Mus musculus: one gene and its partners. The protein of the gene in region 1 interacts with the protein of each later gene in a pairwise test. Links are inferred from orthologs where the notes say so. Each region holds a gene or a part of one and is shown in the gene's direction. Other genes may lie near its edges. The genes, in order: Fam168a, Sf1, Ubash3b, Rbfox1, Ube2v1, Ss18l1 and Dtx2.

The links.
Region 2: the proteins of Fam168a (region 1) and Sf1 interact in binary tests that used the Homo sapiens proteins (3 or more experiments, as listed by UniProt). The two-hybrid records come from large-scale screens. The link is inferred for Mus musculus from reciprocal best matches to the Homo sapiens genes FAM168A and SF1.
Region 3: the proteins of Fam168a (region 1) and Ubash3b interact in binary tests that used the Homo sapiens proteins (3 or more experiments, as listed by UniProt). The two-hybrid records come from large-scale screens. The link is inferred for Mus musculus from reciprocal best matches to the Homo sapiens genes FAM168A and UBASH3B.
Region 4: the proteins of Fam168a (region 1) and Rbfox1 interact in binary tests that used the Homo sapiens proteins (3 or more experiments, as listed by UniProt). The link is inferred for Mus musculus from reciprocal best matches to the Homo sapiens genes FAM168A and RBFOX1.
Region 5: the proteins of Fam168a (region 1) and Ube2v1 interact in binary tests that used the Homo sapiens proteins (3 or more experiments, as listed by UniProt). The two-hybrid records come from large-scale screens. The link is inferred for Mus musculus from reciprocal best matches to the Homo sapiens genes FAM168A and UBE2V1.
Region 6: the proteins of Fam168a (region 1) and Ss18l1 interact in binary tests that used the Homo sapiens proteins (3 or more experiments, as listed by UniProt). The two-hybrid records come from large-scale screens. The link is inferred for Mus musculus from reciprocal best matches to the Homo sapiens genes FAM168A and SS18L1.
Region 7: the proteins of Fam168a (region 1) and Dtx2 interact in binary tests that used the Homo sapiens proteins (3 or more experiments, as listed by UniProt). The two-hybrid records come from large-scale screens. The link is inferred for Mus musculus from reciprocal best matches to the Homo sapiens genes FAM168A and DTX2.

What each region holds. Positions count from the first base shown.
Region 1 is NC_000073.6:100,705,410-100,709,434, forward strand, and holds the start of Fam168a (protein FAM168A), read left to right. Parts: upstream 1-1,225; 5' UTR 1,226-1,484; intron 1,485-1,723; exon of another isoform or gene 1,724-2,250; coding exon of another isoform or gene 2,251-2,259; intron 2,260-4,025.
Region 2 is NC_000085.6:6,362,367-6,366,489, forward strand, and holds the start of Sf1 (splicing factor 1), read left to right. Parts: upstream 1-1,323; 5' UTR 1,324-1,721; coding exon 1,722-1,752; intron 1,753-2,153; exon of another isoform or gene 2,154-2,340; intron 2,341-3,297; coding exon 3,298-3,426; intron 3,427-4,123. UniProt on the Homo sapiens protein: Necessary for the ATP-dependent first step of spliceosome assembly. Binds to the intron branch point sequence (BPS) 5'-UACUAAC-3' of the pre-mRNA. May act as transcription repressor.
Region 3 is NC_000075.6:41,025,563-41,029,062, reverse strand, and holds part of Ubash3b (ubiquitin-associated and SH3 domain-containing protein B), read left to right. Parts: intron 1-923; coding exon 924-1,046; intron 1,047-2,720; coding exon 2,721-2,813; intron 2,814-3,500. UniProt on the Homo sapiens protein: Interferes with CBL-mediated down-regulation and degradation of receptor-type tyrosine kinases. Promotes accumulation of activated target receptors, such as T-cell receptors and EGFR, on the cell surface.
Region 4 is NC_000082.6:7,068,519-7,072,634, forward strand, and holds the start of Rbfox1 (RNA binding protein fox-1 homolog 1), read left to right. Parts: upstream 1-1,316; 5' UTR 1,317-1,480; coding exon 1,481-1,567; intron 1,568-4,116. UniProt on the Homo sapiens protein: RNA-binding protein that regulates alternative splicing events by binding to 5'-UGCAUGU-3' elements. Regulates alternative splicing of tissue-specific exons and of differentially spliced exons during erythropoiesis.
Region 5 is NC_000068.7:167,608,006-167,611,505, reverse strand, and holds part of Ube2v1 (ubiquitin-conjugating enzyme E2 variant 1), read left to right. Parts: intron 1-1,076; coding exon 1,077-1,202; intron 1,203-2,258; coding exon 2,259-2,405; 3' UTR 2,406-3,500. UniProt on the Homo sapiens protein: Has no ubiquitin ligase activity on its own. The UBE2V1-UBE2N heterodimer catalyzes the synthesis of non-canonical poly-ubiquitin chains that are linked through Lys-63.
Region 6 is NC_000068.7:180,059,483-180,062,982, forward strand, and holds part of Ss18l1 (calcium-responsive transactivator), read left to right. Parts: intron 1-2,427; coding exon 2,428-2,547; intron 2,548-3,500. UniProt on the Homo sapiens protein: Transcriptional activator which is required for calcium-dependent dendritic growth and branching in cortical neurons. Recruits CREB-binding protein (CREBBP) to nuclear bodies.
Region 7 is NC_000071.6:136,025,800-136,029,299, forward strand, and holds part of Dtx2 (probable E3 ubiquitin-protein ligase DTX2), read left to right. Parts: intron 1-670; coding exon 671-808; intron 809-2,699; coding exon 2,700-2,773; intron 2,774-3,264; coding exon 3,265-3,423; intron 3,424-3,500. UniProt on the Homo sapiens protein: Regulator of Notch signaling, a signaling pathway involved in cell-cell communications that regulates a broad spectrum of cell-fate determinations.

The sequences.
Region 1 (4,025 bases):
GTAGGTGGGAAATCAAGAGGTTGTTGTATTTGGAATATCTATAGCTGTATCTGTGTGTGTGCGTGCAAGCATGTGTGTGTGTGTGTGTGTGTGTGTGTGTGTGTGTATGCATATGAAATAACCTTTTATGTTTAAAAAACGGTGTGTGCTTCCTTAAACAATTCAGACAGTATAAAAGATAAGAGGAACCTGAAACCTAACAATTCTTTCTTTAAGATAATCACTGATAACATTTTGGAGAATCTCTTCACTGAAATCTTTACGCTTTTATATCCTCGAACTTCAAATAAATCGAACCTGTCTAATCTTGCTGTTTTTGCTATCAATTTGCCCCTCTGACAAGAAATTGTGAAAAGCCTTTCATGTCTAAAGATATTTACCATCATTTTAAATGGCTGCTTAGCATTACGTTGAATACATACATCACTATTTATTAAATCAGCCCTCTATTGATGAATATCTACATCCTTCTCAACTCATATTCAACAACCTCCTATAATAACCGTGGGCATTGTTTTCCAAAAATTTTTGATAATCTTTTTAGATTAAATACTTATAAGTAATGTAAATGTAAACAAATGTGCTTTTTACATGAGGATTTAAGTTGCAGACTTGTCCTCTGATTTTCAGGGATGCCAGGGAAGCTGATGCAGCATTAGTTCTGGCGAGACAGTGACAACGGAGATGGCGAGGAGAGTACAGAATTACAGGTGATGTAGCCAATCTAGGCCCAAGCTCAGTGGGTTGGAATAGTCCTTCCCCTTTTTCTCTCTTTCACTTCTTTTTTTCTTAACATGGAGGAAGGACTGAGAACTGCATGTCCCAGCATTTCGCAAGGACCACACTCCTGGGAACTGTAGTACCGGGTCTGAGAGGGGTCCGGAAGGAGAGAATGGGAAACTGTGTGCGGCATGCTGGGAGGTGTAGTCCCTTGGGCGGAAAAGAGTGCATGTGTAGGTTGTTTTGCTTCATGGAGATGAGGCTGCGGAAATATCCAACTTCCCTCCCAAGAGGCCTTTGAGTTTACAAAAGCCCGTGGGAGTCCATTGTCTGTGACCCAAGAGGGTGCGGTCCAGGACCGGAGCAGGGTTGGGAGAACCAGGCCGCGCAGGGCCGTGGCAGAGCATGCCGGGAGTTGTAGTTCAAGAGCTCGGAGGCTGTGGGACGTGTCGGGACAGCGCGCCGACTCCTCCTCCCCCGCCCTTCTCAGCGGTCCCCCGCCCCCTCCCTCCGCCTCCTCCTCTCTTGCCTGCAGCCGAGCGTCCCCTTCCCCCACTGTCGGGTTTCTCCGCGGCTACTGCAGAGGATTCAGATCTGAGTAGCTGAGGAGAAGGAGGAGGAGGCTCCCGTCCCTGCGCGCCATCCACCACCCTACTGGACACGGACGAGGGAACGAGAGCGTCGCCGCTGTAGCCTCCAGAGAAGACAAGGGCATCGCCGCTTCAGTTGCGGCCGCCGCGGTTTTCGTCTGCAGCAGCTCGCCGGTGAGGAGACCCCCCCTCCGCCCCCCGGCCCGCTCCCGTGGAGCCAGGGCTGGTGGCGCCGGGGAGAACGAGGGTGGGGGCTGTAGGGCCCCCGCGCCGGCTTGGGGGAGGGGACCGAGGTGGCGATGGAACGGCGGGCTGGTGGGGGAGACTTGTCCGTACGCGGGCTGGGAGTGGGGTGAGGGTGGGACAGCAGCAGGTCAGGGAGGGTAGCGGAGGGGGGTGAGGGGGTAGGACTTTACATGGAGGGATAACCAGACCAGGGATAGGAGCATGGGGTGTGTAGGGTATTGAGGTGGAATTTGGGATTGTCTTGGGGCGAGGTGGAAGGTGAGATTGGAGTGGGATGTCTTTTAATGGGGGATGGGACTGAATGAAGGTGATGATTTGGGGTTGGCCTGAAGCAGTTGACAGCTTGTGATCAGAGCGGGGTGGGGGCTAAGGAGATGATTTCAATGCCAGTGGGATATAAACGTTGGATGGGACTCTAGGGAGTGCTAATTTTGGAAGGTGGGACTTGGGGTGGACCTGGGGAAGGAAGATGGAGATGGTAGGAGCTGGGGGTGAGGGCTTTGGCATGGGTTGAGACCCCAGCTTGAAATGGGCTGTTGTCTTCTGGGGATGATGGAATTTGTGAATACTTACGGAAATAGGGCTTGGAGAGAACAGAAGAGGTAGGAATTGTTTGGGGTTTTCTTGAGGTAGGCTGCTGCTGGAGGTTTGAATTTGGACTGGTAGTGATGAGACCTCCAACTACAGGAGATGGATGGATGAGGTAAGCTGACAGGAGGGAGTGAATTGTAAGTTGGGCCCCAAATAGGAAGACAGGGATTGAAATTGGGGATGAGGGCTCAGTGGAAAAGGATTTAGGATGAGTTTAGAGTCTCTGGAAGGAACAAGGTGGCTCCCCTGAGCGGAAGTTGGAGGTAGAGGATATGTCAGACTACTCAGCTGGACTCAACTAAAATAATTCTGGCAGGTGTCGAGCAAGGTTAGTGGATGGTATCATAAAGAAAATGTCTCTCTGCCAGTTTTGCAGAAGAAATGTCTGTGATAAGCTGGTTACCTGTGGTGAGGTGGCAGCGGGGATGGAGTGGGTCAGTTTATTTAGGAAAGGAAGGATTAAGATGTCCTCCAAGACACACCAGAGGTTTAGGGGTTAGAACATTTACATCAGCTGCTTGGGTGAGAGACAGTAATAACAAGACCATTAGAAGGGTCTTCACAGGGGACAGAGAAGGTACATTAAAGATTCTCCTAGAGGATATCTCATGCTATCAATTTGACCTTTTTGTTTTACGTTGGAATTGTCTGGAAATAGCAGCCCCAAGGGTAAAGTTATGAGAGAGCCATTTAAGGTAGAATTAAGGGAGAGTGGGGAGTCTTGCAGTTCCTATGTCAAAAAGGGAAAGTTGGGGGCTCTCAAAGCAAAGGTGGGAGAAGGTGAAACTGTCTCTGCTTTCTCCTTTCCCCCTCCCCCTGGTAAACTGAAACTAGTCCCGGAATTTGGAATTTAAATAGACTTTGATGAACTTGAGGTTGTTAAGGGTGCATTCTTGCTTGAGAACTGATTAATGAGACTGAAAAATAGGAAGACTGAATTTATTTTCTAGGCAGGCAAGGTGCATGTATGCAGAAAGAGGTTAGCAAGCCCCACCTCCCCCCAATAAAATTGATTGCTTGAAGTCTCCATTTATTGGTGTCCTGGTTTGCAAGGCAATTAGGCCCATCATTGTATTGCAGGCTAATAATCCTGAGATGAGTCTTGGCACCATCACTTTATGTAAACAGAGAGAAGACAGGAAATATAGAAATGTAATAAATATTCATTCTTTGGTGAGATGGTTTGGTACTGATGGAATTTTTCATTCGATTCTCTTGACATGATAAGCTTTTAAATAATTGGGCTGTTTCTACAAATTGAATTTTCTTCTAGAGAAATTCAGGTGATCAGAATTCTGTCAGGTGTGAATAAAAAGTGTAACATGCAACCATATTTTGTTGTTAAGAGGATGCTGTTGATGTAGGCACACTGCATAAGAGAATAACTGCATCTGTTCATCAGAAATTTGATGTAAAGGTTGTCGATGAGTTTATTCTTGGGGTTGGAAGGCTCAGAGGAATGTAAGGAGGGTATGTCTTCAGGAAGACTGTTTTCAGGTTTAATTTCATTAACTCTAATATGTTAAACTTGACGTGGCTGTTGATTAGAGTGTAGTCTAGGGAAAAAAGAGGAGAAATGGAAAGGAGATAAAATTGATCTCAATGGGAATTAAAAATACTTTCTTTTTTCTGTTAACGTTTTAGTGTTCAGCTAGAAAGCAAAGCATTTTTCTTGGTATTTATAATCGAACACATAAAAATGCCCATTTAGAGGGTGGATTATCCATGGAATTAGAAATGTCTTTTTTTTGAATTAATTTTTTTTAATTAGGTATTTTCCTCATTTACATTTCCAATGCTATCCAAAAAGTCCCCCAATACCCCCCCCCCACTCCCCTACCCACCCACTCCCACTTTTTGGCCCTGGCGTTCCCCTGT
Region 2 (4,123 bases), on another chromosome or scaffold:
TTCTACCACTCAATTGTATTTTCTGCCCAGACATTTGCTCTTTCTCTGTTCTATGGCCATTTCCTCCCTACCTGTCATAGTCTGTTGACTTGTACCATCCACCATACTTGAGTTTCTTATCTTTGTAGTCTCTTTATTCCTAGATTACTCCAAACCTTCTGTTGTCTACATGTCTACTTTTCTACATCATTTTAAAAGATTACTTAGTCTTATGTATATGGGTGTTTTGTCTGCATATAAGTCTGTGCACCATATATATGCAGTGCCTGTGAGGCCAGAAGAGGGTTCTGATATCCTGGGACTGAAGTTACGGATGGTTGTGAGTCACCATTTAGGTTCTAGGAATCCAACCTGGGACTCTGGAAGAGTAGCCAGTGCCTGGTCTTATCTGCTATTTCTCTAGCCACTCTAATTACATATTAAACACTGTTTCCCCTACTGGGTCTAAATAACCTCTCTGTGAGAACCCTATCTATCCCCAGTTCTATTATGTTGTGCTAACCTGTTTCATTACTCTCATGTTTATTTCATGGGAAGGAATGTTTGGCCTCAGTCTCATTTACAAGTTCCCTACCATTTTTATGGGTAATTTTAAGGTACCCGAAACAAATTTCCAACGCATTGAGATTTCCCTGGAAGTGCACACTTTTAGACTAACTTTTGAAATGACTTTCTCTCCCCTCTCCAAGAAGGACTTGGAGCGCCTGACTTTTCCTTTACAAGAGTTAGTATGTGCCATTGAACCTGGATTTTTTGAGACAGATATACTGTACCCCAGGTTAGCCCCAAACTCATGTCAGCTCTCCTGTCTCAGCCTTTCAAGTTCTCGGGTGACAGGCTACTTGGCTACCTTGTACCGGAATGAAATAAAGTCTTTAAATACACCCACCAACTACCCTAGTTTTGAGCCATTTCGTAACACTATTTTTCAGAGAAAACAGGAAGTCTTTCTCTACTCTACCTGCAGCTTCGACGTATCCTGTTCGTCAGCTCGAGCCCGCCCCTTCGCCGCGGTCCCTAGTTACCTCTAGCACAATGACTAACGTCACTTAAGGCCTCCGTTCCGCCCCTCTGGGGAAGGGGGCGGGGACACGCGTGCCCTCCCTACGCATGCGCACCCCTGCTCTCCGCCTTGGTTCCGGCTTCTCCTCCCGGCTTTCTCCATTCTCGAGCGGCTGGCTCCTGGGGGAGGGGAATCGTTTCAGCCAATCGTGTGGCACTACGACGCCGAGGCGCTTACCTCCATCGGTTTCAGCCAATGAGCTAGCCGTTCTCTCACGTCACAGACTTTGCCCCCTCCTATTCCCCTGCCACTCTGGCCTCAGTCCGCGCAGTAACAAGGAGTGCGCGCTGCGACACCTCCCAGTTCCCCCGGCCCCGCCGCCATTTCGTCGCCGGGCCTAACGGTTCGGCCAATCCCGACCCATATTGAAAAGAGCCAGTGCTCCACCAATCGGAGGCCGCTGCCTCCGACCTCACCTCGGGCCGGCCCAATCCAGGCCGCGGCCCCTCCGCCCCGAGCCCGCCCCCGCGGCGTCCTTTCTCCTCCCTCTTTGTGCGTCTGGCGCCGCCGCCGCCCGCCGCGTGAGAGGACGGGCTCCCCGCGCTCTTCAGCCGCGTAGTCGGGTCCCCTCCCCCCCACCTCCAGCTCCCGGAAGGTTCGTGAAGGAGAAGTCGCCGCGGAGGACGAGGAACCGCTGCTGCCGGTCCCCTGGGGCGCCATGGCGACCGGAGCGAACGCCACGCCGCTGGGTAAGCTGGGCCTACCAGGCCTTTCCCCACTTCCTGGGCCCAGAGGCAGCTTCAAGCCCAGCCTATTGGCGCTCGGGACGCCGCTGCCGGGGGCCCTAACCACGGCCTTGTCCTTAGCGGCGGTGCCGTCACCGCCGCCGCCCCCGGCCTCGTACCCGCCATAGCAGCCGCCCCCGCGCCGCCGCCGCTCTTTTCAGCGAGGGTCGCCTCCGCGCCAGGACCAGCAGCCGGGCCAGCCCGGTGGCGGCGGAGGTGAGTCGGGCCGATAGAGCGCGAGAGTCGTCGGGCGAACCGAACCGGCCGACGGAGGGGCAACGCCACCGCGGTTGGACGCGGCGAGGACGCGCGCGCGCGCACGGGAGGCCCGGGCGGACGCGCCACGGGGAACGCGCGGCCTGGTTTGGGAGGCTTCGATTGCGCACGCGCACCGCGAGAACCAGAAGGGCGGGAGGAAGCGTTCTTCGCGCAGACGCAGTGAGGCGTTCAGGCTTTGTGGCGCAATTGTGGTAGTTTTGGAAGAAGCCACCTGTTGCCCCCTGAGCTCCTGCTATGGAGGACAGGAGAGTCAGGTCCACGGGACGACGTGGTGTGAGTGGCTCCCTTGATGGTTTTTAGCAGCCCCGTGGCAGGAGTGTCTCCTTTCACAGTGAGGCGAGTTCGGAAGGCTACTAGGGATGCTTGAGTTCGATCATTTATTAAAGGTTTTCTCCTTTTGTTTTCTAGAAGGTTCTCAGAGTGACCAGCTTTCCCCGTGCTGTTTTAAAAGGCTTTTTCTCTGGGCCTGTAATCTGAGAAGTAGAAAACCTTGTGTGGTAAATGTAGGGAAGAATGTAATAAATCAGAGTTCTGATGACAAGTGTCCACTGGTCAGGAAAACTGATCTTTCCACGAGTAAGAATGGTCATATTGAAGGATGGCATGTTTCCCACAGTAATGTGTAGCAAGAGATTTGTTGTGTACTCTTGTAGCTTGAGTTCCAATGCTTTGTGGGCCTCATTCCAGTTTCCTCTTTTCTGCCCTTTAAGGCATTCAGAATTGATAATATGTATCTGTACACTTCTGATTCTGGGTTTCTGTGCATTAAGTCTTGGAAGCAAGGGCATGATGGTTCATGCTTTTAATCCTAGCACTCTGGAGGCAGAGGAAGGTGGGGCTTTGAGTTTGATGCCAGTCTACATAGTTTAAGACTGCCAGGGTTCTCTAAAGGGACTTCTGTCTCAAAAAACAAACAAAAGATCCAAAGAGTTGGAGATATGCATCAGTGGTAGAGCTCTTACCCAATATATGCAAAAACTCTGATGTTAACACTACAAAAGAAATGTGTTCCTTGTTACATTCTCTAGTATTTTCGTTTTAAAAGAACTAAATGTGAACTGTTCCTTAACTTTCCTGACAGGAGGATCTTTAAAATGGCTGCTTGTTTTCTCTGACCTCTGAGATTTCTTTCTTTTTAAAAATTTAGGTGATTTCAGTTTAGTTTTAATTATCATGAACTGCTTGCCTTCTGGTTCATATTTCTGCCTGATGGGCTCTGTCTGTCTTTAGACTTCCCAAGTAAGAAGAGGAAGAGGAGCCGATGGAACCAAGACACAATGGAGCAGAAGACAGTGATTCCAGGCATGCCTACAGTTATACCCCCTGGACTGACTCGGGAACAGGAAAGAGCTTACATAGGTAAATACACGTTCTACATCCAGGTGCATCTTCAGATTGTTACTGCAGATTGTTCTGAGTGATGAACCTGTTGAAAGTCTTAAGATTTTAGTCATGGGAACAAGGTGTGATGAGCTATGCTTTCATAGCTGTGTAATCCGTGATTTGCTTGGCCAGTCCTGCATTTGCAGCTTCTTGTTTGGGCCTGCTCTTAGCTCGGCAGCCCCCTTCTCAGCTGCTGTTCTTGCTCATTGGTGAGGTGAATGCTATCTTCCTCTCTGGACAGGCCCCAGTGGAGAACACTGCAGGTATTGTAAACCAGTTGCTTTTTTGTAGCATGGCCTTTCACCATAATGTCATGGTTCCCTTTCCCTAAAATTGTGGTTTCGTTTTTTTATAGGTACAAAATAGTTTAAGCAAAAAGTGGCTCGGAAAGCATTTATAGTTTACCCATTTTGTTGAATTTAATCCTTCCCTTCAGTATCCTTTCTTGTTCCATCTTTAGAGAGCTGTCTTAAAACAGGCTCTTGTAATTTACCACTAAAGGACTCTGCTGGGAAGGGTTTACTGTTTGATTTGAAATGAAGTGGTGGCAGAATTTAAAAAATTAGGTTACTGTCCACAGTAGAATTAAACCTCAAAATTACTTAAAATCCAAGGTCATAATAAATGGAAGTTTTATATCTGTCCTGCTGTCTCAAAAAGTGCACTTGATAAA
Region 3 (3,500 bases), on another chromosome or scaffold:
TGCTACCCACCTACTAAGTTTGAAACCACCCAGGTTTTCAAGTCTTCTACCAGAGTGTCACAGTACCATTTGCCTCTCCTCACTTGATCACATAGATACAGCATCCTTTCATAAGAAGCCAGAGTATATAATACAATAAGATGTTTTGTGCAAGACTGTAACTTACATTACAGTATATCATTTATTCTCACTCATTACTGTGACTGACTTATAAGTTAAATGTTATCATAGGGGTGTCTGGATGGGTGAAAACATAGTGTGTTCAGGATTTCACACTGTCTACACTTTCAGGCATCTAGTGGGGCTCTTGTGATGCATCTCCTGTGTCTAAGGAGGACTGCTGGTGGTTGGTGGCCTACACAGCAATGCATACCTGTCTCGGCCTCTAGGGGGCACCGTCAAGCTACTTTTATGTACAATGAGTCATTATTGACGTAGTTAGAAAGTGCCTGGAATCTCAGAGTCCTTCTTGATTGTTTCAACTCTTAGGGGAGAGATAAGCATTCTTGTCCCCATTCTATAAACTGAGGTACCAAGGAGCAAAGAGTAGCCGTGTCTTGCCTACGCCCATACAGCAGAATCAGTTCAGAGACATGAACTGGCTCTGTGGCCAGAATTCCTGCCTTAAATCACCGTGGGGCCATCCAGTTCAGTTCTCCCTCGAGTGACATTTTGAGACTAGGAGTCTTGCCTTTATCTAGTTGTTATATTTACTGAGCAATCCCCTCGTTTCCGTCATCAGCAGGCGGTAGTGGAGTCTATGTCGTCTTCTGAGGAAAAGGTGTCAGGTTGAGTATTCCCCACTGCCCTCAGATGGTTTGATTAGTGTCTTTTGACCAAGGAGGAGGAGGGGTCAGAATCACAGAAGAAAGTTTCGAGTAAACAGAAGACTATATAGCCTTTATTTGATCTTCTCCCCCTAGGCCGCTACATACGCACCAACCTGAACATGCCTCACAGTTTACCTCAGAGGAGCGGCGGTTTCCGGGATTACGAGAAAGATGCTCCAATCACTGTGTTTGGGTGTATGCAAGCAAGACTAGTGGGTAAGGGCTCTCTGTGACTGCGTAGCATCTTCTGGCTCCTTCAACAGAGCTGCACCGCGGGGGTGCAAACACGCTTTGTGGGACTTGCCTTTTTGTTTGTTTGGTTGGAGACAGGGTCTTATAGACCAGGCTGCCCTAGAACATCAGATGTTCCTGGCTCAGCCATCTGAGGACTGGGATTGCAGGTAGGCTCCTGCTGGTTGCAGATGTGTCCCCCGCTGAGGAATGAGGGAAGGAAAGTCAGGTTTGGTTTACTTACTGGTGTAGTAGATGTTGCTAGCTCATGACAGCAGCATCTGCCAGCGTGGTATAAGAAGATGTGAGGCTAAGGAGGCGGTGCAGGAGCACTGCTGAATCTGTCCAGTGATGTTTTGAAGCTGTTCAGTCCTTTGAAAGTATTTCTGTACTGGTTTTAACAGTTGTGCAGAAACCATGCCTTGTACTCTAAGGTCATCATTTACTTTGGGCAAGTTCCTGGACTAGGTAACAGAGACTCAAGGGTGAAGTTCCATGGAAACACACGTATGTGTTGTGGGTGACTATCAAACTATAAGGCTGACTAAATAGCAAACTCTACACAGAGTGTATGAAGAATATTAAAGAAAGACAAAGGGTAGAATGAAACAAGAGAGGGATGGAGGGAGGAGGAAGAAAGGATGATTAAGAGGCAGGGTGAACTGGGGCCTCCAGTGAGAGTCATCTGAGTGAAGAAGAGGGAGAGGGGCCTGGTTCTTGGTGTGGAGGGCAATAAACAAAATCAGAGGTCAGACATAGCATTGAGAGATCCCTGCAAGACATGGTCAGTGAGTTCTCTCTCTCTCTCTCTCTTTCTTTCTCTTTCTCTCTCTCTCTCTCTCTCCCTCTCTCCCTCCCCCCCTCCTCCCCCTCCTCCTCCTCCTCCTCCTCCTCCTCCTCCTCCTCCTCTTCTTCTTCTTCTTCTTCTTCTTCTTCTTCTTCTTCTTCTTCTTCTCCTTCTCCTTCTCCTTCTCCTTCTCCTTCTCCTTCTCCTTCTCCTTCTCCTCCTCCTCCTCCTCCTTCTTCTTTTTCTTCTCCCTCCCTCTCTCTCTCTCTCTCTCTCTCCCTCTCCTCCCCCCTTCATAAATATGTAAGAATAAGTAGCATTAAGCGTACAGGGGATATGAGCTCTTCTTGGTTTTAGAGCAGAGGTTGAGGCAGGTCAAGAGAAGGAGCTAGCAAGATGAGCAAGTCCATGGAAGACATTGACACCACATGAAGATACTTAAAGTTTACATTGTAGAGAAAGGAAGTGATCCACACAAGGAAACAAACAGTAAAGCATCAGAGCAGTGGATGTTGGGTTTGGACAGCTGAGATTGGGGCTAGCACACTGGAATTGTAGCCATGTCTGACTGTTACAGTATCAGTTCTCTCCCTGGTTTTAGCATCTTCCTTGTAGAGGTCAGAGCATTATCCTTTGTAGCCTCCCTTAACAGGGCATTTTACTGTGTGCTGGCACCAGTAAGAAGGAAAGGAAAAGGAAGAGGCCCGTTGTTTGGCCCTCTCCATGGATGCACTATTGAAGGGCCTGACTACTAGGCTCTCTGCAAGCTCCTACTGGGAAAGAGAGGATTATGGGTCTCTTGACACCATTCCAGTGAGGGTCAGGATGATCAGTCAACCATCATGCTGATTGTCTGTTGATTTACTCGGCAGGTGAAGCCTTGTTAGAAAGTAATACTGTTATTGATCACGTGTATTGCTCACCATCCCTCCGCTGCGTTCAGACTGCACATAATATTTTGAAAGGTAAGGCTCTTGGCTGGACAGAGGTTACATGCTCCATCCTTCTGCTTCCTGCCCCTTACTGCAGGGTTATGGGGTTTCAAAAACGGAAAGTTTACTTTGTTTTTTTGTTTGTTTGTTTGTTTGTTTTTGAGACTGGGTTTCAAGGTGACATGTAGCCTAGGTTATCCTTGAACCTACAGCAATCCTCCTGCCTCGTCCTCCTGAATGCTAGGATCTACTGGCTTGAGACACCATGGCTTGCAGAAATCTAGAACTTTTATTGAGGTTTCTTCTGCAAGGTGACAACCTTACACAGTATAATCCAGATAAATAAAGGGAGAATATTACTATGTTTTCCTTAAGGATTTTAAGCTGTCTTAGATGGATTGTGGCTGGACAGAAGATTTATAACTTTTACAGAGAGGATTCCTTTTGCATTTAAGCAGTGAGACGATCTTGCCTGATTTCTAGATATTTTCTGTAGTAACTGAGTTGTTGAGTGTTCCACACCATCACCATTTTAGTTTCTTCAGTTAAGTGGAAAGACTTATTCATTCATTCATTCATTTATTCATCCTTTCTTTTACTTTTTGAGACATAGTCTGACTGTGTAGACTTGATTGGTCTGGAACACACTGCATAGACCAAATTGGCTTCACACTCACAGAAATCCACCTGCCTCTACCTCCCAAATGCTGGGATGAAAGG
Region 4 (4,116 bases), on another chromosome or scaffold:
TACACATACCAGCTATATAAAATCCCTTCACAGATGAAACACAGCACCAGCAAGTCTGCACCTACTCTGTGGCACATTTCTAGATCACATCTCACAGTGCAATGCCAGCTAGACAACTTACCTAGTGATTGTGTGTGTGTGGGGGGGCGGTTTAAACTCAACACTGCTTCCTACTAGCTGCAAAGTGGCTGCCTAGTGTGAGTCTGGATTCCTGTTGGGTACCACTTTGCTTCCTGGGTCTGGGAATTAGCCCCTGCATCCGAGATGTGGAAGAATGGAGCTCAATAACCCACAAAGCTAATTTACTCAGATTTCAGCTATTATTTTGTTACTCATGAATTGCCTTTTCAAACTGAAATTGGGTGAAGAAGGGGTGGAAAGTGAGCCCACTGTTTTGAGACAGTTTCATGTAGCTCAGGCTGGCCTTAAGTTTGCTATACAGCTGAGCTCCCAATTTTTCTATACCAACTTTCTGAGTTCTAGGATTATAGAGGCTATCCACCACATACTGAGTATTCTTAGATAATTTTTGATCAGCTACCCACATGAACCTGCTAGATTTGAGTGTTGTTGTTATGGTTGTTGTTGTTCTTATTTGTTTGGTTGTTTTTGGTTTTGTTCATAACTGTGGCGGAATGGGTATAGGTGTGAAAATGTATGTGCTGTGTTCAAAGGGTGACCTCCAGGTATCTTTCTTTATTGCTTTTTACTTACGCTTTGAGAGAGGGTCTTCCACTAAACCACTGTACATGGAAGTTTCTGTTTGGCTATGCTGGCTCGACAGTTGAGACCCTGCATTCTCCTGTCTCTGTTTTCCCAGTGCTAGGAATGTGTGACACATTGCCTGATTTCTTACATAGGCACTGGAGATCCAAATTCCAGTCCTCAGGCTTATATGGTAGTATACAAACTCACATAACAACCAGTTGCAATTTAGAACTGAAGTCTAGGCTCTGGTGATGATTTTTATGTGGGTAAATGTTTAAGTTCTTTAAGTTGCAACTGATTGTCATGTAAGCTTACACATTTCTATTACTTATTCTCTCTAAAAATCTCATGCAGACCCAGCCCCTTGCAATTTGGCCCAGTTCCTCAGGACAAATGCCTTCTCTTTTCGCCTGATTCCCTGTCACTCCATCTCCCTTGGTCTGAGAACTAAATTAATGAAGAGTATTTGGTTAGTCATGTTGGGCGAGCTGCTCCCAAAATAGCTCCTTCCATTTTGGTAGCTCCGACCGACCCTGCAGCTGCCGCGTCCCTTCCTTGTCTGGGAAGAAAACTTTCACATTAAGAGTTGCTGATGCAGGGTTTTGTTTCCTTTCCCTCTCCGCTGCCTGTGGATGAGCACTTGGCTCCTGACAGAAGTGATTTGGCTCTCGGCTTTGTAGTTGAGAAGAAGTTGGGTCTATAGATTTCTTTCCCCCTCTAACTCTCTATTGATGTGTTCAGCCTTGGAGGGAATAAAGCCTCCATTTAAAGCATGTTGGCGTCGCAAGGAGTCCTTCTGCATTCTTATGGCGTGCCCATGATTGTGCCTGCTGCCCCCTACTTCCCGGGACTGATGCAGGTAATTCATGGCTTTTGCCAGCAAGCAACTTAACTCCAGAATGCTCTAAGTAATAATTGGAATTTTTATGGTTGAGAAAGCAAACACTTTTAATACAGGAAGAGAAAAAAAAGCCCTCGTGTAGTCAAAGGAAAGACAGTAGGAAATCAAAAAGATGGATCACCTTAATCTGGCTATTGACATCTCTCATGGATGAATAAATGGTGTAGTTGAGCTGTATTTGCTTGTATTGATCTGGGTGCTGTTTAACATTCATGCCTTTGCTTCGGGAGGTTGACCAGGGGGCAAAAGATTTGCTCTCTTCCCTAGCTTTCTGAGGGACTGGGTCTCCCAGAGCAGATCATGAGGCTCAGTAACTTATCATGATATGGCTTGCTTAAAGGCTTTAACCCCGGAAACAGAAGGGCAGGAAATACAGAGTGCTGCTGAGGACACCCCACACAGGTTGTTGTTTGCAGAGAAGCTTCCCCTTGCAAATCTGAGAGGCGACCCACAAACAAGAGGGTACACTGAGAATGGTCTCGCTAGGAAGTTCAGAGGTTATTCTGCAAATTCGATGCCAACTGTTTGTATTCTCGGCAGCTGGGGAGAAGTTAGGATGCCTGTTGTTTTGACTGCTAAGGCTATTATTCTGTGTACCGAGAGGTTTGTGTGCTAGCGAGAAATTGGACCTGTTTCTTTGCCTTATTGTACCTCCTTGCTGTCACTCAAACCCACTGCTTCTGGGTGTACGCCTGCAGTTCTCTGGGAAGCCAACATCCACTTGTGATAGAAGTGGGTCATTGTAGGAAGCAAGTGGCTATTTGTTGCTGTTCTTTAGAAATAAGCAACCCTAAGTAATAAATCCTAAATCTCCTTTCTATGGGAAAGGAAAATTAAATATATGCAGTACAACACTTTAGCTTTTTTTCCTGTAGCCCCACTCCCACCCAGCCCTCTCTGAGAGTTCTACAAAACTCTAATTCATTAATGACGACTTCTGTGGAGGATTGAACAAATATTCTTTTTATTCTTTGACTGTGACTGTGACTGTGACCTTCTATTAACTGTCAGAAGCTGGGTGGCAGAATGCACCCAGACGTCAATCCCGATAGCATCAGAACTGCCAATTACCCTAGATGTATGGATACTATTGCTACACTTCTATGTTATAGGTAAATAGACCAGCAGAGAATGGCCCTGGCACCAAGGAAGGGAACTTGTGGCCAGATGGTGACATGAAACTTAGGACTTGAAGGTGAAGCAGAGTAACAGTGCTTTTGGCTTCTGTTGGAAATTTGGGGTGAAGGTCAAAGGCTGGAGTTTTGTCGGCCCCTGTGCTGCCCTATCCGATAAATAATTACAAGCAAATCGCTCATTTCAGTCCGTGCTGATTGATGCTGAAATTGCTTTTGAAAGTTCTCATAAGTTCCTGTTATAGATTAAGTGCTGGTGCAGGAGAATAACGGCACCCACAGAAATGGGTGAATGTAATCAGGTTTAATGGACTCGAGAGCTTGTTGGGAATTAAATAACTATCGATTTGCTGGGATGTTTCTGTCATTACAAAATGCCACTCTGAACGTATTACCCCAATGATAGATGAGAAGACGCTAGAACCAACTGCAAAGCTGGGAAGGCACTATTTCTTCCTCTTTGGCAAAATGTTCAAGAAACATAACTGGTTAGTGTGGAATGGAGCAAGTTATTTTACTTGCAAATGTTAACCTGATCCATTCTCATTTGTTTCCCAAAAGGAAACTTCTGAACTAGTGACCTACAAGTCCTTCTGTGTGTGTCAGTGAGGAGCCTCCGATGAGCTACTGGGACCCACTGCACCCTTCCCCTCTCCTCCACACAGAGCACACTGCAAGGCTGTGCACATGAAGGTGCTAGCCTTCTTGCTGCTTTGTGGAGGCTCAAAGAAACTAAACCCCCTCCCATTGCAGTTTTGTTCTTAAGGAAAGGATGTGGTATGATAGAATAGGTAGGAAATTCTAGTGCCTCTTTACCTTTCAGCTTGCACTTCCTGCCCTAGCTACCTTGGCCCTTAGCTTGAGGAGTTTCACCCCGAGTCAGGAATAAAGGCCCTTTTGCCAGGATTCAGATTTCTTTAGCAACTTAGTGATTCCAGCAAGACAAGAAAATGAAGAGGACTATGGACTCATCTTTGCTAGGATCCCTTGTGCCTGCATAGTTGGGAACAGCATGAATGGTTATGTGCAAGGGCCACTGGCGAGCTGCTTGAGATGCTGTTCACAATTTCACAGTCTTTCTAAACTCAACAGCCAACAGTTCTGTGGCCAAAGATGTTCCTTTTTGAATTGCTGCCTGAGACACTTTTGAAATTCAGGCCAGTGTGGCTTAATTTTTCTGCAGTTAAAGAAAAAATAATTTGCATTTTTTTTAAGTTTTAAGAGAGTACCTGACTCATGCTACAGTCAGTACCTACAGATGTGTCCTTACGTGTCTAGTGAGGTCCCTCTCATGGCCTCTTCTTTAAAGTCAGTCCCATAGTTAACATGGGATTTCCATTCCTACTTTCTGTTTCTCTGGAAAACCAGTGTCAC
Region 5 (3,500 bases), on another chromosome or scaffold:
CAGTAGGTGTCACTGTGTGCATAGGAGCAACTGCTTTGTGTGCAAGACTCCTAAGGAGAGGGTGCCCCCTGCCTGATAAAGAGGCGTGGCCCCTGGTCCAGGGCACAGGTCCCATGTGGAAGGTCTCTGCAGTGTTGTCTTTAGGCACAGTCACAGAGTAGGGTGCTTGCAGCCAGGTGTTCAGGGCTGTGTGATGTTTCCACTCGGGGTGGATGTTCCACACATGATTGGGCTGGGCCAGGCACAATTTGCTGTTGAACATTACAGGTGCTGGTGTGGGCCTCACTTTCCTGTGGGTCTCTTTTTGTTTGTTGGTTTGGTTTGGTTTTTTTGAGATAGGGTTTCTCTGTGTAGCCCTGGCTGTCCTGGAACTCACTCTGTAGACCAGGCTGGCCTCAAACTCAGAAATCCATCTTCCTCTGCCTCCCAAATGCTGGGATTAAAGGCGTGAGCCACCACGCCCGTCTTCTTATGTATCTCAGTGAAGAGATGGTTGGATGGTTGGCTTTGTAACTGTGGGTAGAGGTCAGCAGACACCTTTTGTAGTCTTCCTCCTTCTGCTTTGACAAGCTTGCATGACAAGCCCCTTACCCTCTGAGCCATCCCCACAGCCCTCAGCAGTTGGTGTTTTCATTTATTCGCGATAGTGATATTCATAGCCCAGACTCCTAAGGCCTTCAAGGTCACTGTGTGCCTGTGGATGATCCTCAGCTCGTGGGGTCACAGCTGGGTACCATCACGCCCAGACACAGTTGACCTTTCAGAGTTGATGCTGTCCCTGATGGTCTGGTGCCTCAGCTGCCTGGCCTTCTGCTTCACTCACTTGATGCTGGTGGCATCTTAGGTCACCATGACTACATAAGAGAAAGAATGCTCTGAGGGCAGATGGCATATGCTACAGAAGTGGCCTCAGGTCGGACTCATTGACACTTAACCCTAGTTTCCTCCTGTGTCTGTCCTGTGCTTCCGTCTCTGAGGCACCCACGACAGGCAGTCTGGGGCAACGGTGTCTCCCAGGTGTTGGAAGCTGTACCTCTCTTAGGTCTCTGTAACTTGTCTCTATTCCTTTTTTCCAGACAATCTATGAAAACCGAATATACAGCCTTAAGATAGAGTGTGGGCCTAAGTACCCAGAGGCACCCCCGTCTGTAAGATTCGTAACAAGAGTCAATATGAGCGGCGTGAGCAGTTCGAATGGAGTGGTGAGTCCCCCACTGCCTGCCTGTAGGTTATCACGGTGCGCTTGTGTCTGCAGCGTTGGGCAGGGCCGCTCCATTGTGGCTTGTCACTGCAGGAGCCCTGCACTGGCTGTCAGCCGGGCGTGGTGGCGCACACCTTTAATCCCAGCACTTGGGAGGCAGAGGCAGACGGATTTCTGAGTTTAAGGACAGCCTAGTCTACAGAGTGAGTTCCAGGACAGCCAGGGCTACACAGAAAAACCAAGAAAAAAAGAGTGTTCAGTGTCCATGGCACCATGAGGTAGAGTTGGGAAGTTGGGGCTGAGGCAGAACTATTCCCATATCTTTACCTCCTGTGTCCTGGCCCCTGCCATGGGATATTTTTTAATACTGTTTGCTTGTGCAGCCCTGGCTGGCCTCCACCCATGGCAGCCCTCTGTCTGAGCCCCTGCATTAGCGTTGTCCATGGCCTTGAAGGCCTGACCTTGAGAGGTCAAGGTTGCAGCGCTGTCTACAACTGCAGCCCTCTGTAGAGCTCAGGCCTTACACAGGCTGGCCACACCTCGGCTGTAAATCCCCAATCTGTGTCTTGCTTGCTAGAGGCTTGGAGGCGCTGTGCCTGTCCTGTCCTAGGAGTCTTCAGAAGATGGGCCAGAGAAGTAGAAATTAGCATTCCTGCCACTTGTCCTATGTTGTTCTGTGTTGGAGCCACTTGTCCTATGTGTTACTGTGTCGGAGCCACTAACTCCTTAGTGACCTAAGAGACCTGGGCACCATGGCTGCTCTTGCTACCTGCCCCACCCTGGGTACACATTGGAGAAAGGACAGGGCATGGGCGCCAGGTGCTTGTTGGTCAGGATGGGCCCAGTTTGGCCAAGTTAAGTCTCCCTGTGTGCCTCAGGCTCTGCTAGTTTTCTTCATGCCAGGACCCAGAAAAAGGAGGCAAGACTGTCTGCAGGAGGGCAGCTTGGCCCAGCCCATGGGTTTGATGGGCCTGTGGGCTGGGCATATCAGCCCCGGGGAGGGCGGGAAGGTTTTGCTGCTGAGTCTACAGTAATGTGTGCATTTGCCTCTGCGCAGGTGGATCCGAGAGCCACGGCAGTGCTGGCAAAGTGGCAGAACTCCCACAGCATCAAAGTCATCCTGCAGGAACTGCGGCGCCTGATGATGTCAAAAGAGAACATGAAGCTGCCACAGCCGCCGGAAGGACAGTGTTACAGCAATTAGTCACCAAGGCCCCGGCCTCCCCTCCCCATCCAACCCAAGTCTTCATTTTCCACAGTAGTGAATTTTCTAGATACATCTGTAGACCTCAAAGTACCGGAGAGGAAGCTCCACTCAGCCTTCATCCTGAGACACTGTTCTGATACTAACTTCTCGTCCATTTGAAATACCTAAGTTGTGCTGTGTAACATCAACTGTTGAGTGTAACCGCTGTCTGCCTGGTTGAACTTCTGGGATCAAGAAGGTGTTGAAATCGGTTTCCTGTGGGAGCGGTGGGCACAGCTAACGCAACTGTGAACAGACACGTCACACAATCACCTGCTGCTGGCCCTTGGCCTGGGTCTGCCTTTGCCCGCCCCGCCCTCCGCCACAGCTGTGTGGTGGCCCTTAGAATAGATGGGAAGGCTTCAGGTAGCAGTTGTGGGACTGACTACTGCTGGGCTTGGGGCGCTTTGGCTGCACCCCTGCTTCTTAAGTCTTAAGTGATGCCCCATCCAAGCCATGGTCCCCACTCCTCCACTCCCACCCTTGGCCAAAGCTTAGATTGTAACCCTCCCCTCCCTCTGAAATTGGCCGCGGGTGAGGAATTCAGGGCTTCCCGTGTCCCCACCTTTATCAAGGGGTGCTGCTTCCCCTCCTCAACTCCCCTGTTGCCCATCACCACCCAACACTTGCTGTGGCCAGAAGCCATCAGATGAGGTTGGAATTGCCTGGCCTCCCTCACTTAGCTCCGGACCACACTCACCTGCCACCAGCCTGGGAAGGGAGCGCCGGGTCCTCAGCCCTGCTGCCACCGTCAGCCCTCGAGCTTTGTGCTCAGGTCTAAGGTAAACAGCAGTCACAGGGCGACTCGGACCGGCCAGCGCTCAGGGTCCTTGGTGAAAAGATGCCTAGAGAAAGGCCATGCGGAGTCCTCAGTGCACACGGTTCTGAGTTGGTTCCTTTTCCCATCATTGCTTTGCTTTTACACATTGAAGAGGTTTGAACAGGGCTCTCGTCACCCTGGCCACCCATCGGGTCTGATGTGGAGCCTGACAGCTGGAGCACGAGGCCCTGACCCTGCAGACTCAGGTTTCAGTGTTGCTCCTCAGACCCTCT
Region 6 (3,500 bases), on another chromosome or scaffold:
GGCACAGTGGTTCAGACACTACACCCCTCGACCTAGCAGTGCTGGCCTCCAGCGCGTCTCAGCCGCGTCATTGGTGTAGGTCTGTGGAGTTGGGTTTGCGGGCTGCGCTGCAGGGCTTCACTTGCCTCGTGCATTTGGCAAACAGTGCAGAGTTTGACCATGTTGGGGATTTTGCTGCTGGGAGACAAACATGGCCATTCTTCCAGCTTAATAGCCCAGGAGCTAGTAGGATGGCTGCTTTTTTTAAGAGCTTGTAGCCCCAGTGTGGAGACCTTCATGGTGCTGTGGGAATGGGAGGGAGAGGGACAGCTGTGTGCTGTTGCTGTGAGGCTCTGAGACAGAAAGCCTTGCTTCATAGCATTTGCCCCTCCGTGGTGTAAATGTGTGTGTTCCTCCTGGCTGACAGGCATCATCACTGATGGGATGCCATGGAATGTGGAAGTAAGAGGAGAGACACAGTCCCTGAGCAAGTTGAGAGTCAGGGGCTCAATAGGACTTAGCATGCACTTAGCACGCATGCGTACATACATACATACATGCATAGTACATATTTATTATTTTAAAAAATGTGTGTGTGGCCATGTGCACCCTCACTGGGGCCATCCTTAAAGACCAGAAGAGGGTGTTAGATCCTCTGGAGCTAGAGTTATAGGTTGTTGTGAACTACCTAATGGACTCTGAGAACCAAATTTGGGTCTTGTGGGAGAGTAGCCACTTGCTCTTAAACCTCTGAGCCATCTCTCCTGGATTTTTTTTTTTTTTTTTGGTTTTTCGAGCCAGGGTTTCTCTGTGTAGCCCTGACTGTCCTGGAGCTCACTTTGTAGACCAGGCTGGCCTCGAACTCAGAAATCCACCTGCCTCTGCCTCTGCCTCGTGCTGGAATTAAAGGCGTGCGCCACCATGCCCGGCTTCTCCTGGATTTTTTTTTGTTGTTTTTTTTGTTTTTTCCACACCAGGTTTCACTGTATATCCCTGGTTGTCCTGGAACTCTATCTGTAGACCAGGCTGACCTTGAACTCAGAGGTCTGCCTGCCTCTGCCTCCCTCCTAACCCTAACCCTAACCCTGAGTCCTGGGATTAAAGGCTTGTGCTACTACTGCCCGGTGAAATGTTTAATAATTGACCTATAGTCTCTCTTAGAATAACTCCACATGGAGGTGAGTGTCTGTGTATGTGACACTGTTATGTCACATGTCATATGATTTAGCCCACAGGTTTGACTCTGCCTGCTTGGTCTCACTGAGCCCTTCAGACTCGATTCTCACCAGCTACCTTATTTACATTTTATTCCTTCAAAACGGAACCCCTAGTAGGTAGAGCACTCCTCTCAAGCCTCTGCTGTGCTCTGCTCATTTGATGTACAGCCTCTCAGGGCACCAGTTGGGCATCTTGGGACATCAGGCCTTCGCCCCTCCTAGCTCTGGAGGCCTGAGATCTGAGGTCAAGGTGTCTTCAGAGCTACCTTCTGCCAGCTCAGGGCAGGTCTGCACCAGGCCTCTCCAGCATCTGCTGCCTGCCATCAGTCTGGCTCTCTCTTGGCTTGGAGAGACATGTTCCAGACTCTACCTGCATTGTCCTGTGGCCTCTGTGTATCTGCTCAGATTTCTCTGGCTTCACGCAGACCCTCACGCTTGGCATCCACTGAAGATCTTGTTTCTGACTAAGGTCCCATTCATGTCTTAGGAAGTAAAGGTAACTTTGGAGGCTGTATTTTACTTTTCTTGTTGCTGGGACAAAACACCTGACAGAAGAAACTTAGGAAGGGTTTACTTTGGTTTAAAGTTTCAAGTACAGTCCGTGGTGGCAGGAGCCTGCGACAGCTGTTGCATCCACAGTTGGGAAGCAGAGGGAACAAAAGGTGTCTCAGCTCCTTTCTCCTCTGTTCATTCAGGGACCCCAGGCCATGACTTGGTGTCACATACATTTGGTTCAGCCTTTCAAGAAACACCTTCACAGACAAGACTGGGTTGTGTGGTTGTAAATCCAGTGACCTTGACGACTAACAGTCAGATGTGTGCGGTGGAACTTGATCATTCAGTGCGCAGAACTGTCACCTGAGCAGCTACATCACCCATTTTATATTATCTGGCTTTTCGATCTTATTTTATAAAATATTAAAACAGAAATGCCATATGAGCTGAGCAGTGGTGGCCTTTAATCTCAGCACTTGGGAGGCACAGGCAGGAGGATTTCTGAGTGCAAGGCCAGCCTGGTCTACAGATCGAGTTCCAGGACAGCTAGGGCTATACAGAGAAACCCTGTCTCGAAAAAAAACAACAAACAAAGCCATATGATATTTGAGCCATCATGGGAACATACTGCCTCTGGAGACATGGTGAAAGGATTCCTTGGCTACTCACTGTCCTGTGGGTAACAGGGAGCCTCCTGCACTGCCCAGAAATGAAACTGTGCCCCTTCTTTCTGCAGGAAACTCCCAGTACAGTCAGCAGCAGGCTGGGTACCAGCAGGGCACAGCACAGCAGCAGACCTACTCCCAGCAACAGTATCCCAACCAGCAGAGCTACCCGGGGCAGCAGCAGGGCTACGGTAAGAGGGATGCCTGTCTCCTCACAGAGGACCCTCTGGTGTCTGCCGTGGGCCGCGTACACTGTGATGGAACTGTTTAGGCAGATGTTGAGTAGGCTTATTTTGGTGTGGCTATTGATCTCTGGAGAGGTTGGGGGTTGTTTTAAAGGATTGCCATGTACCCAGTACCTGCCTCCCTGTATCTAAGATCATCATTTATCCCTGTACAGTGGTCACAATCAGAAACCAACATTGGGTCCTGGAGAGATGGTGCAGCTGTTAACAGAACTTTATTCTCTTGCGGAGGACCTGGGTTTGGTTCTCAGTATCTACGTAGTAGATCCCAGCTGACTGTAACTCCAGTCCCAGGGGAGATCTGACTCCTTCTTCTGGCCTCTGCTTGATGAGAGTGATGTGCAAATATATGTGCAGAAGGAAAGAAAAACAGGGCTGGCGAGATGGCTCAGTGGTTAAGAGCACTGACTGCTCTTCTGAAGGTCCTGAGTTCAAATCCCAGCAACCACATGGTGCCTCAAAACCACCCTTAATGAGATCAGACACCCTCTTCTGGTGCATCTGAAGACAGCTACAGTGTACTTATTTATAATAAATAAATCTTTGGGCCGGAGCAAGCAAGGCCTGAGTAAATAGGGTTAACCAGAGCGAGCAGAGGTCCTAAATTCAATTCCCACCAAGCACATGAAGGCTCACAACCATCTGGACAGCTATAGCTATAGTGTACTCATGTACATATAAGTAAATCTTTAAAAAAAAAAAAAGGAAAAGAACAGCCTCGGGCAGGCCATGAGGCGTTGAAAGTCTCCCTGGGCTGGACTGCAGCTCCATGGCAGAGTATTGCCATCTGTGGTGATCACACACACACACACACACACACACACACACACACACACTAATATAACAACTAAACAGATGTGGGGACTTTAGCAATCCTCTCCAGAGCCTTCACCTTAGTC
Region 7 (3,500 bases), on another chromosome or scaffold:
ACAGTGAGAGCAGTCTTTGCCTCAGTTAGCCCAGTTAGTCTGGAGACTCGTGGATGTGTTCCTACTCCTGGTGATTCTGGAGCCTGCCAGGGTGACACAGTCCAAGGGCTGTGGGCAGCTGGTGGAAAGCATCTCCCTAGAGGCCAGATGATCACAAGCCAAGAGGGCACAGCCAGGCCAAGTGGCTCTAGCAAAGAGTCAAGGGAAGGCCCCAGGCTCTTGGAGCCAGCGCTGCTGGAACTACCTCCTGTTGCCACAGCTTGGCTGCACCTTGCCACATTCCTGTCTTTTCCTTCCCTGCTCCTGGCGTGGGAGACACCACTCAGGAGGCCCCTGGGCTGTTCTGCCCTTACTTTCTTAAAGCCACCATCCTTGTCCCTTACTCTGTCCCCGCATAGTGCGGGCACAGGCTTGGCTGTTGCTTGTGCAGACTCCTGGGGAACTTGGAGCCCAGGTTCTCTGGTGTCTGGCCTGGAGCACTGCACTGTGGTCTGGGAGGCACTGGTACCCTTCCTTGCAGTGGTCCGATCCCCTCTTCTGGGGAGATTGTGGTCTCAATGGCTGTGCACAGTGTCACCACTTCACTCTCAGCAGGGTCATGAACACCGAGTGTGAAATGCCTCCTTCTAACGTTTGTCCCCTCTGCATGTCTGATCTCGCACCCGTGCAGGCATGACGAGTGTGCTGTCAGCCATTGGACTCCCTGTGTGTCTTAGCCGTGCACCCCGGCCCACCGGCCCTCCCGCCTCCCGTCCGGCCTCTAAAAGTCACAGCTCAGTTAAGAGGCTGAGGAAAATGTCCGTAAAAGGTAGTTGTGGTTCACACACACTCTCAGCCCTGCTCAGCTTCCTCCACACCTTGCTGCCTGGACTCTCTTCTTTGCCCACCGTCCGTGACCCTTTTCTTCTGCATCTCTTCTCCCTGCCCTGTCTGCCAGCACAGGTGGCTACTGGCATTTTCCTGTCGGCATTGTTGGGTGATGGGCTTATCACCCAGGACAACTTTGCAGTGTTGGTGCAGATTGAGACACTGCTGTCTCTTCAGGGGGCCTCACCGACCTTGAACTTTGATCATCTTGCTGGCATCTCCCACCACGTCCGGTTCATGTAGCGTTGAGTTAGAACCCAGGGAGGGCTCGCTGCATGCCAGGCAAGCAGTCTACCAGCTAAACTAACAGTCCTAGTTGTCTGCACACACTTGTGTTCTGCCTCTGTGGAGGCAGCTTTGTGGGCTGGGCAGGCTGGCAGCTTTTTAGTATGGGGAAGCATACAGACACGTGGCCTTCTTGGGTGTAGCTGCCTCTCATGGGATTGATGTGGCTGGCCTGCCCACTTTGGGAAATGATGGTAACTGAAGCTCCTTTCAGCTCTTGAAAGCTGTGTGTGTGAGTGGGCAGCCACGTGCTTCGCTGGTCCCGAACAGAGGGAGGTCAGGAGCTAGTGCGGGAAGAGGGTTCCTGAGACCTGTAGCCACAGACCAGTTTTTGAGACAAACTATTGCTGTTTACCCAAGGTTCTTAAAGGCATTGTACCACCAGGCCTGACTGACTGGGCTCTTCTAAAAGGCTCCCTGATCCCCTCTATGGTAGCGATAGTACCCTTGGTCTTTTTGTCTGGTTTCTTTGCCAGTGGCCAGAATGTAAGTGTATGCAGGGATTGTGAGAGGTAGTGGTACGTGTGTGTGTGTGTCTCTCTGTGTGTGTCTGTGTGTGTCTTTGGTGAGGATAAGACATATGACGTATATAGTACCCTCTGCTGGTTTCTACATTCCCCAGGAGCTAACAGCTGATCCTCCTATCAGTGACAACTTGTACGGTCTCTGAGGTGGTCGAATTTGGTCATAACACATGAACTAGATCAAGCCTTCTGTCCCCTGACCCCACTTCTGTCCTGCCATGTGGCTGTCACCTGCCTTTCTAGCTGGAGGGTCTCATGGCCCAGCTCTTGGTTATAAACCTGTAGCCATGGCTGAGGGCTTCAAGATAGCCACAAACAGGAGCCCCGCTGTGCCCTCTGGTGGCAGGGTGGCCGTTTCATGCCCCCATTGTTCTCCCTGGTCCCTTCTCTAGCTTGGCTGAGACTCTTGAGACCCTGCTGTCCACTCTGTCCCAACTCCTTTGCTTCTTGGAGAGTTCTGGTCCCTAGCTCAGGGCTCCCCTAAGCCCCCACACACAGCCAGCCATTTCCAGGATCGCTCAGCTAACGAGCCCAGTGGGCTTGTGACCCAGATCCTCCAGTCCCAAGGTGGGGTGAGGTGCCAGCCAGCATTCTCAGTGCACACAGTACTCATGTGGCCCTTCCCACCGCCGCTAGACTGGAAACTACCTCTCTCACTGAAGTGTCCTCGGAAGTGCTGGCAGTGGACAGGCAGCACTGCCAGCGTCTCCTGGGGTGCTTTGCTCTCAGAACAAAAGTGTCTTTGACACTTCTGAGGTAGTTTCCTGGGGGACATGACTCAGGGGTACATGCTGGTCTGTTATGCATCCTTCGCTTCTGTGATCTCCCCTGGTGGCCCAGCCCCCTCTAAGCAGCTTGCCTGGGTCAGGTGTCCTGTGCTGACTCTCTTGTCTCAGCCCCGCTAACCTTTCCTCTCCGCAGCCGGAACTTCTGCCTGCCTGCCTGCCTGCTTCCTTCCTCCCTTAGCATTGCTCACCCCATCTTGCATGCCTGGGACAGCACTCACATCCCGTTCTCTTCCAGAAGGGGCGCCTAAGCCCGAGCCGGAGCAGGTGATCAGAAAGTACACCGAGGAGCTGAAAGTGGCCCCTGAAGAGGTATGTGTCCTGGGAGGGGATTCTGGTCCTCAGGGTCTTCCAGGGGCTGACACTGGGTCCAGCCTCTCATGGTTAGGTGGACATCGCTAAGATGAGGTGGCTGGAGCTCACTCTCACCTCATGGCAGAGCAGAGGGCGGAGGTCCTGAACAGTGTGCTTTCCCCTCCAGCTTGTCGGGTAGGCACAACTGTCGCTCTGCTCAGGAACAAGGTGGCCTTGTCTAAGGGATACCCTTTCCTCTCTGGCTCTTGTCTCTAGTAAGCACCATTGTGCTGTTGTTTTTGCCTCGTGGCCTGCGGGGTTTGGTCAGCTTTTCAAGGACGTAAGTGAGAGGTACCTATGTGGCCCTATGTTCTAGAATAGTCTCTGAGTTGACTTGATGGCCTAGCATCCCCTTCTTCTGACAGAGGCAGGACTTTGTACCTTGTGCTGGCTCACTGTGACCCATGCAGTGGGTCCAGTGGCAAGTGTGTGTCATGTGCTCCCTGCAGGACTGCATTATCTGTATGGAGAAACTGGCTGTGGCTTCTGGGTACAGTGACATGACTGACAGCAAGGCCCTCGGGCCCATGGTCGTGGGCCGCCTCACCAAGTGCAGCCATGCCTTCCACCTGCTGTGCCTGCTGGCCATGTATTGCAACGGGAACAAGGTACCACAGTTGGTCTGGGTGGAACTGCAGGGACCTGTCCCCATAGCCCTTTTGAACCTACTGCCTCAATATGGTGT